Linked DNA regions of Oryctolagus cuniculus. The protein of the gene in region 1 interacts with the protein of each later gene in a pairwise test. Links are inferred from orthologs where the notes say so. Each region holds a gene or a part of one and is shown on either strand. Other genes may lie near its edges.

Region 1 (3,675 bases):
CCCAGCCCTGGGCAGGGGAAGGCGGGGCATCCTCAGGCCGACAGGAAGCTTCTGAAGCCAGCAGGCACCCAGGCTGCACAGCACCCAAGCCCCTCATCCCTAGGGCGTCTCTGGAATTGGGTCCTTCGCCTCCAAACCTGAGCCACTGTGCCCCATCCTGGCAAAATTCCTGAGTGGCAAGGGGGGTGACTGGGACCGAAGGGTGCCTGGGTGGGAGGGAGCCAGGCTGCACTGGGTAGGATCCAGGGTGTGGCTGCCTGGGCGGTGGGGAGAGGGTGGGCAGGCGCCAACTGCAGGGCAAGGCCAGACTGGCTGGCGCTGGGGACTGGCGTGTGGCCATGGCCCTGGGGAATGTTCAGCAGATGGTCCCGTGGAATTAAGTTGGTGCCAGCCAGTGGGGCTGAGGCAAATTTGGGAAGTGGCGCTGTGGTCCAAGCTCTCCCGACCGTTCCCCTGTCTCCTTTCTTGTGGCATTCAGGGCTGTGGCCAGCCAGGAGGCATTCTGGGTCAGCCAAGTGGTAGCCTCTCCGTGGCTGGGACCTGCCAGGCTGCTTCCCGTGACCACACTGGGATCCTGGGAGCTGTGGAGGACTCCTTCCTTTCTCCTATCGCTGGAGAACCCACTGCCATCTCCTGTCACCTGCCACCGACTCCACTGCCCACGTGCCCTGCTCTTATGTCCTTCCCTCTCGCAGGATCCTGGGCTTCTGAGCTCTGGCCTGTTGGAGCTGGTGGAAGGCCTGGCTCCTTATCTCAGACTTGAACTTGGCTGGGCCTCCTCTCTCGACTCTCCCCTGAACATGGAGGGTGGGTCCCATAAACATGCAGCCAAGAGACTGCATGAGGGGAGATTGAGGGCAGATGGGGTGAATCTCTCATGGCCTTCCGGGTGCATCCTATGAGCAGAGGGTGAACAGAGCTGTCTCGGCCGTCCTGGCCCATTGCTTCTTACAAAACCGTGAGTTTTTGGTTTTTTTCTTGTGTGCCCGAGGAGGATGTGTCTCTCCATTTGCCCAGGCCTGAGCTGAGCCCCAGAACGGTGCTGGTAGAGGCTCGTAGCAGCCTGTCGTAGAGGGTGGAACCCCCGCATTCTCTTTGCCTCCTCCCTGGAGGAGCAGGAGGGGCAGGGTCCAGGAGCCCTCAGTATCTGTCACCAAGGAGAAGGCGGGGAGGGCAGGTGGGAGGGGGAGGCTGGCAGAGCGAAAGGAGCCCCCGGGGGCAGCCGGCTCTCGGAGGCCCTGGTGCTTAGCGCCTCGTGCTGCCGTAGCTGCCCGCAGAGCTGTAGCTCCGGCTCCGGCTCCGGGAGCCCAGGCTGGGACTTCGGGAGCTCGAGCTGCTGCTAGTGCGGGTCCTGCTCCGGCTCCGGCTGCGGCTCCGGCTCCGAGTCTGGCTCCGGGAGTAGCTGCGGCTGCCGGAGCGGCTGCTGCTGCTGCTGCTGTACCAGGAGGAGGAGCTGCTGAGGCTGCTGGGTGAGGACGGGCTGGGCCGGTAGTAGGGGATGGGGCGTTTCCGGGCACTGCAGAGACCACAGGAGGACGCATGCGTGAGGGCGGCACTCCTCCCAGCCCCGACCCAGCCCCTCTCCCCTTCCCTTGCCACCCCCACCCCCACCCCAACACACCAAGGAGAAAGTGTTGGCTCAGTGCTAAATCATCTTGAAAACTGATAATCTCACTTAAAAAAGCAGCGAGCCCAGGGCTCGGAGCCTCCAGCTGGCAACAGAATCCATACCAAAGCTTAATGGTGGTTTTCTGTTGCTATTTTTACTTTTACTAGAACCTTCTATTTATGGTGAGAGAAGCTGATTTTCCATTTACTGTACTGTATGTTTTTTTTTTTTTGACATAAATGCACGGGCCTCTACAAAAAGAAAAAAAAAAAAGAAAAAAAAGGGGCATATCTATTCAAGGAAAATCAAGTCACCCATAGTTCCTTTCACGAGCACACAAGGTAAAAGTGAAGACACAGCCGAAGGGCTGAGGTCTGGGAAACGCGGGACGGGTTAACAACATGGATTTTTCGGGGCTGGGGAGACCAGGCAGCCTCCGGAATGCCACTCTCTCTAGCTCAGCCCTCCTCCAAGCCGAGCCCAGTGATGGCTCTGGGCGAGGCAGGAAGAACAGAAAACCCCCGACTTCTAAGGGCTGAGGCAGGGGCTCCAGGCCCGGGCTCCTGTCTGTCCACCAGCCCATCTGCAGGGAGGGCTCACTGGGCAGCCAGGCTCGCCGCTCCTCTACGGGGGTGGAGGGTGAGCGGCTGAGGAGCCCGAACCAAATTTAGCACGGCAACCTCAGTCGTTCTCCCAGCTTCCAAGGCTGCAGAAACTCATTTCCACTCGGACCCTGGGCCTTTCTCTTCTGAGACCTCACGTGGCACCGCCAGCCACCTGCACCTGCTCCGACCACACGGCCAGTTGCAAGGGCACCCGGTGCACGCTGCGTCTCAGTGCACAAGGCACGGGCTCTCATCTCTGTGCTCCCTTTCAACTCACCCTCCTCCTATCCGGAGAGTTATTTCCTACCACTGGAAGAAGTGGAGAGGCTTTCCCAGGTCACGTGGGAGTGGCTCGGCCAGGACTGGGCTCGAAATCCAGAGCTGGCCACTAAGGCGCCCTCCAAGTTGCCCCCAGCACCCAGGTAGTCCTGCAGCTCTCTGTACACCTGGTTCAGTAGACCCAGAGGTGGGCCTGAGGGTGCCGTCTGTCTCCAATGCCAGACTCCATCACCAGGCCAATACCGAGTCCACGGCTGTGCATCTGGCTCTACACTCCCACTCCCAGGCCAGACTCCTTTCCCTTCCCCAGCCCTGCCTGCCAGGCTCCACCCTCAGACTCCTAGACACCTTCCAGGCCACACCCACTCCCAGGATGGCCCCATCCCTTCTCTGGCCCCGCCCCCCGCAGGCCCCAGGGGGCGGGACGGGAGTTGATTGATCCTAGAGGCAGGGCTGGGGTGCGGAGCTGAAGGTCTCAAAGCTGTACAGGTCCCTAAATGCCGGCCTCCCGGTGGCTGAGGCGGAGGGCTCGGGACCCGAACGGGCGGGACCGCGGGTGGGAGGCAGGGCGGCCTCACCTGGTTATCCTCCGCGCCTCCAGGTGGCTCGGGGAGTCTCTCCGGCGCTTGCGCATGGGCGAGTAGGACCGCCGTCTCCGACGCGCGCGCTCGTGCCCCCGCGGCTGCGAGTCCTTCTCGCTGTACTTGGGGTCCCGCTCCCTAGAGGGGTACGGCGGGTAACTGGGGAGCTGGGGCTGGGGTTGCCCCGGGCCTTGGGGAAGAGCCTGCGTGGACCCGCCTTGGCGGGTGGGAGCCACCAGATGCAGGCGCCGCTGGGGCCAGAGTGCGAGTGAGAATAGGGATGCGGGTGAGGAGGCTGATGGGTGTGGCCATGGGTTCTGGGGTGCGGCCGTGGGGGTGCTGGCAGTGGGGACATCACGACACAGGTGAACCTGGGCCTGGGTGCCACTCCTGATTGGATCAAGGCAACTGCTTCCATCCACCAGGGCGAGGGCGGGGCTTAAAAGGACGACTGGGGCGAAGGGGTGGGGCTGAGAGGCGGAGCTTTGTCCTGGGGCGTGGCCAGACCTGGGGGCGGGGCCTTACCTGCTGGGGCTGTAGCGGGAGTAGCTGGGGCTGCGGCGGGATCGCGAGCTTCTGCTGGGTGGGCTCCTCTTGCCAG
Region 2 (3,911 bases), on another chromosome or scaffold:
CTTGTCTCCAATTACTGACACACTGAGCTGGACAAGGTCAACTTGAAGAAGGGGAACAGGTGTTATTCTAAATGTCTCAGTAGGAGGCAGTAGGGCAGGAATTATGCCAGATTTGCACATCAGATGGGTGATTCTAAGGAGGGGCTGGGGGGAAACAGGCAATTTAGTAATTAGGTATCTCAGCAATTTTAATTTGAAGGAGACAGGAACAAAGCTAAGTCAGGGACATTATTCAGTCACTCAAAAAAAATGGGAGAAGTTACTTTGCTGCTGTAATGTGTACTTGAGAGAAACATTTTTTCTTGGCCTTATACATGGGCCTTGTATGTGAACATCACAGTCCAAATATTAGTAGAGCTAGTTTTCACCTTCTCAATCCTCACTTTCATTGTCATAGTGTAATTCCTCATCACTTTGTACGTAGATTATTGTGATACTGTATTGCAGCTTTATCTTTTAATCCTTTAAACTACAAACCACAACAATTTACCTAAACCACAAAAGGGGTCACAACAGGCCACTACCTAAAAGCGTTCAAGAGTCCCCCATTACACAGAACAAATCTAAGTGCCTTAATATGGCATATCATTCCTAGCCCCAGACTATCTCTACGGCATTATTCCTTGATACTCTGGATTTGCAGTTTATATTGGATTGTCAAAATTCCTTCTGTTCGTATTGATGACTGCTACACCTCAGCAAGGGGCTTCGGCAACCTTTGATGCCATTTCCAAGACCTAGAGTTATCTGACCCCTGAGCTGTGCAGTGTTCACCAAGCCTCACTACCAAGAATTCACTGACTCTTGTAAAGAACCACACCAGAGCGTCTGTGCGAGGACCCAGGCTCTAGCTGTGGCTACACAAGAAAAACAGTAAATTAAGCCTGTTTGAAAAAAAATATCTTGCTGTTCTCAGAATATTATCAGTCCCTTTGCTTACTTAGTCTGATCTGCTTGCAACCCCATGGCCACCCTTCTTCACCTTGTTAAAGGCTATCTTCCTTCAAAACTGGAGCATCATAAATTGCCTGAATCCCCAAGTGGACTACACTTCATCTTTGCCTGCACCATGTTATATTATTTGTGTACTGGTCCTATTCTGTGCCCCCACAGTGAACTCCTTAGGGACAGAAGTTACACCTCCGCATCCCCAGGAGTTAGGTTCACTTAGGGCGCCAGTAGTTGTGAATGGATTTGTGTAAGGCAGTGATAGGTGAAGCCACGATGGGAGGTGGAGCCTGAAGGCAGTCCAATGGGAAGCGACGCGAGCAGCTCTGGGCGGAATGCGGCTTCGGGAACGGATGATGAGAAAGATGGAGAGGCCCAAGACATTGCACCATGGCGCAGAGGGAGACAGTGAGAAAGCAATGGGGAAGCTCTGTGAGCGAATAATTTCCAGGGCCGGGAAAGAACTCCGGAGCACTTTTTCCGGAAGGACGTCTTTATCTGGACAGGGTTTTGGCAGACGAGCCACAGAAAGGAACCCCATGCCCTGAGTCTCGGGTCCGCGCGAGCCGAGGCTTTGTTCCTTGTGCGCCTGCGCGCGCCCCCGCTGCTCTTAAGCACGCCTTTTCCGGCCAGGTCTTGGGGGGAGGGGGAAGGCGGAGCAGCATTGGCAAAGATGGCGGCGCCGGAGAGTGTGATGTTTTCCGAGAAACGTAGGTAAGCTCTGCCGAGGGAGGTGAGTTGGCAAAATAGGGGGATGCAGCGGGCCGAACCTGGGCACGGAGAATATACTCACAGGAAGGAAAGGAGCTGGGCTAAGCGAGGGAGCCAGCGCAGCAGTTCGAAACCTTTCTGGGGCTCGCGCTGAACTGTCATGGGCGTCCGTGGGCTCAGTGAGTTGAGGAGGGGAACAGGTGGCGGGTTGGAGAAGAGCTGGAGTATGGGCGTGGAAGGACAGAGCCATGGGAGCTCCGTGTTCTGCAGTTAACGGGGAACAAGACTTCTCTCCCGAGCGATTTGCTGTAACTGGTCCTAGAAGAGAGCGAACTCGGGCAGCGCTGCAGTTGGGGCCGCTGACGCTGATGCTGTGTGTGATGGTGAATCTCAATCTTCCAGCCACAAAAAGTACAGGGCAGCTCTGAAAAAGGAGAAACGAAAGAAACGGCGGCAGGAACTCGCGCGATTGAGAGACTCAGGTAGTGAACTCTTTATCCTGTTTGCTTCTTTTCCTCCTGCCCTAACTTCATAACGCACTTTCAAAAGGAAGTCAGGCTGTGGCTCCTGCCTCCCAGCTGTGTTAGCTGTGTCAGAAACAATGTTAACGAATTACGGAGGGGGAAAGTCACAAAGAGTTAACACTTACTGATGCTGCTTCAGTGTTTATAAAGTAATGTTACAGGGGCAGTCAGCATGAATTACAGTAGCTAGGACAAACCTTGCACATAGGAAGTAGTCAGTGAAAGAAACTTTTTTCTTTTTTGGTTAAGTCAGCAGGAGTCCAGCGATTTAGTTAGACATTTTGCAACTTTTACTCACAGTTGAGTAAAATAAGAAACCTTATATTGGTCTCAAACTACTATATTATTTAAGTGTTTATAAGCATAAAACTAGTGAAATTTAATAGATTATACAATAATACATTTACTTAAAAATTATAAAACCAAATGAAATTACACATCTTAGAATTAAAATATGCATTAATGTAATGCTAGGATGACGTGAAAGATGCTCCCTACAGCATGCATATGATGCTGATGAGAATTTGGAATGCTTCTATGATGGTTGGCCTATTGTTTTGTTTCAATTAAACTGTAGCAGAATCTTCAGTTGTACAGCTGAACATGATGTCATTTGGCCTTCACATGGCAGAACCTAACATTTATGTATTATACCTGCCTGTTTAATACAATAAAATTATGATTTAGTTAAAAGATTATATAATAGTTGTAAATGCAGCTGGGGTCACCGAAATCACACAGCAGTAGTGCTTTATAATGGTTGCCATCCAGATTATTCAAATATGCTAATTATATTAGCCTAGACAATTTTTAAGATTTTATTTTTATTTATTTATTTTTAAAGATTTATTTATTTATTTGAAAGGCAGAGTTACAGAGACGTAGAGGCAGAGAGAGAGAGAGAGAGAGGTCTTCCATCCGCTGGTTCACTCCCCAAATGGCCTCAACGGGTGGAGCTGGGCCAATACGAAGCCAGGAGCCAGGAACTTCTTCTGGGTCTTCCGCTTGGGTGCAGGGACCCAAGCACTTGAGCCATCTTCCACTGCTTTCCCAGGCCACAGCAGAGAGCTGGATCAGAAGTGGAGCAGCCAGGACTCTAACTGGTGTCCGTAAGGGATGCCAGCACTACAAGTGGTGGCTTTACCCACTACACCACAACACCGGTCCCTCTTTTTATTTATTTTTGTCATTTGAAAGGCAGAGTGACAGAGAGAATCTTACATCCACTAGTTTACTCCCTAAATATCTACAACACACAATGGCTGGAGCAGGGCCAGGCCAAAGTTAGGAGCCCTGAACTCAATCTGGATCTCCCATGTGGGTGATAGGGGCCTAAATACTTGAGCCATCTTCTGCTGCTTTCCCAGGTCCATTAGCAGGAGCTGGATGAGAAGTGGAGCAGCAGGGACTTGAACTGGTGCTCATATGGAATGTGTTGTAGCTTAACTCGCTGCACCACAATACCAGCCCCTGTTACATTCCCTTAAGGTCACTTCAGATCTGATCCATTTTTCCTCCACTTTCACTGTTTCCTCAAATTTAAGTTTTGAATAGGGAATGATATTAATTTTTATTGTATTAAAAATCATTTAATGGGGGCCAGTGCTGTGGCATAGTGGATAAAGCCACTGCCTGCAGTGCTGACAGTCCATATGGGCGCCGGATTGAGAACTGTCTACTCTACTTCTTTTTTTTTTTTTTTTTTTTTGACAGGCAGAGTGGATAGTG

Evidence for each region.
Region 2: the proteins of SRRM4 (region 1) and ZRSR2 interact in binary tests that used the Homo sapiens proteins (3 or more experiments, as listed by UniProt). The link is inferred for Oryctolagus cuniculus from reciprocal best matches to the Homo sapiens genes SRRM4 and ZRSR2.

Annotation. Positions count from the first base shown.
Region 1 is NC_091452.1:15,289,112-15,292,786, reverse strand, and holds the end of SRRM4 (serine/arginine repetitive matrix protein 4), read right to left. Parts: coding exon 3,600-3,675; intron 3,213-3,599; coding exon 3,072-3,212; intron 1,517-3,071; coding exon 1,246-1,516; 3' UTR 587-1,245; downstream 1-586. UniProt on the Homo sapiens protein: Splicing factor specifically required for neural cell differentiation.
Region 2 is NC_091453.1:1,928,685-1,932,595, forward strand, and holds the start of ZRSR2 (U2 small nuclear ribonucleoprotein auxiliary factor 35 kDa subunit-related protein 2), read left to right. Parts: upstream 1-1,274; 5' UTR 1,275-1,621; coding exon 1,622-1,662; intron 1,663-2,061; coding exon 2,062-2,141; intron 2,142-3,911. UniProt on the Homo sapiens protein: Pre-mRNA-binding protein required for splicing of both U2- and U12-type introns. Selectively interacts with the 3'-splice site of U2- and U12-type pre-mRNAs and promotes different steps in U2 and U12 intron splicing.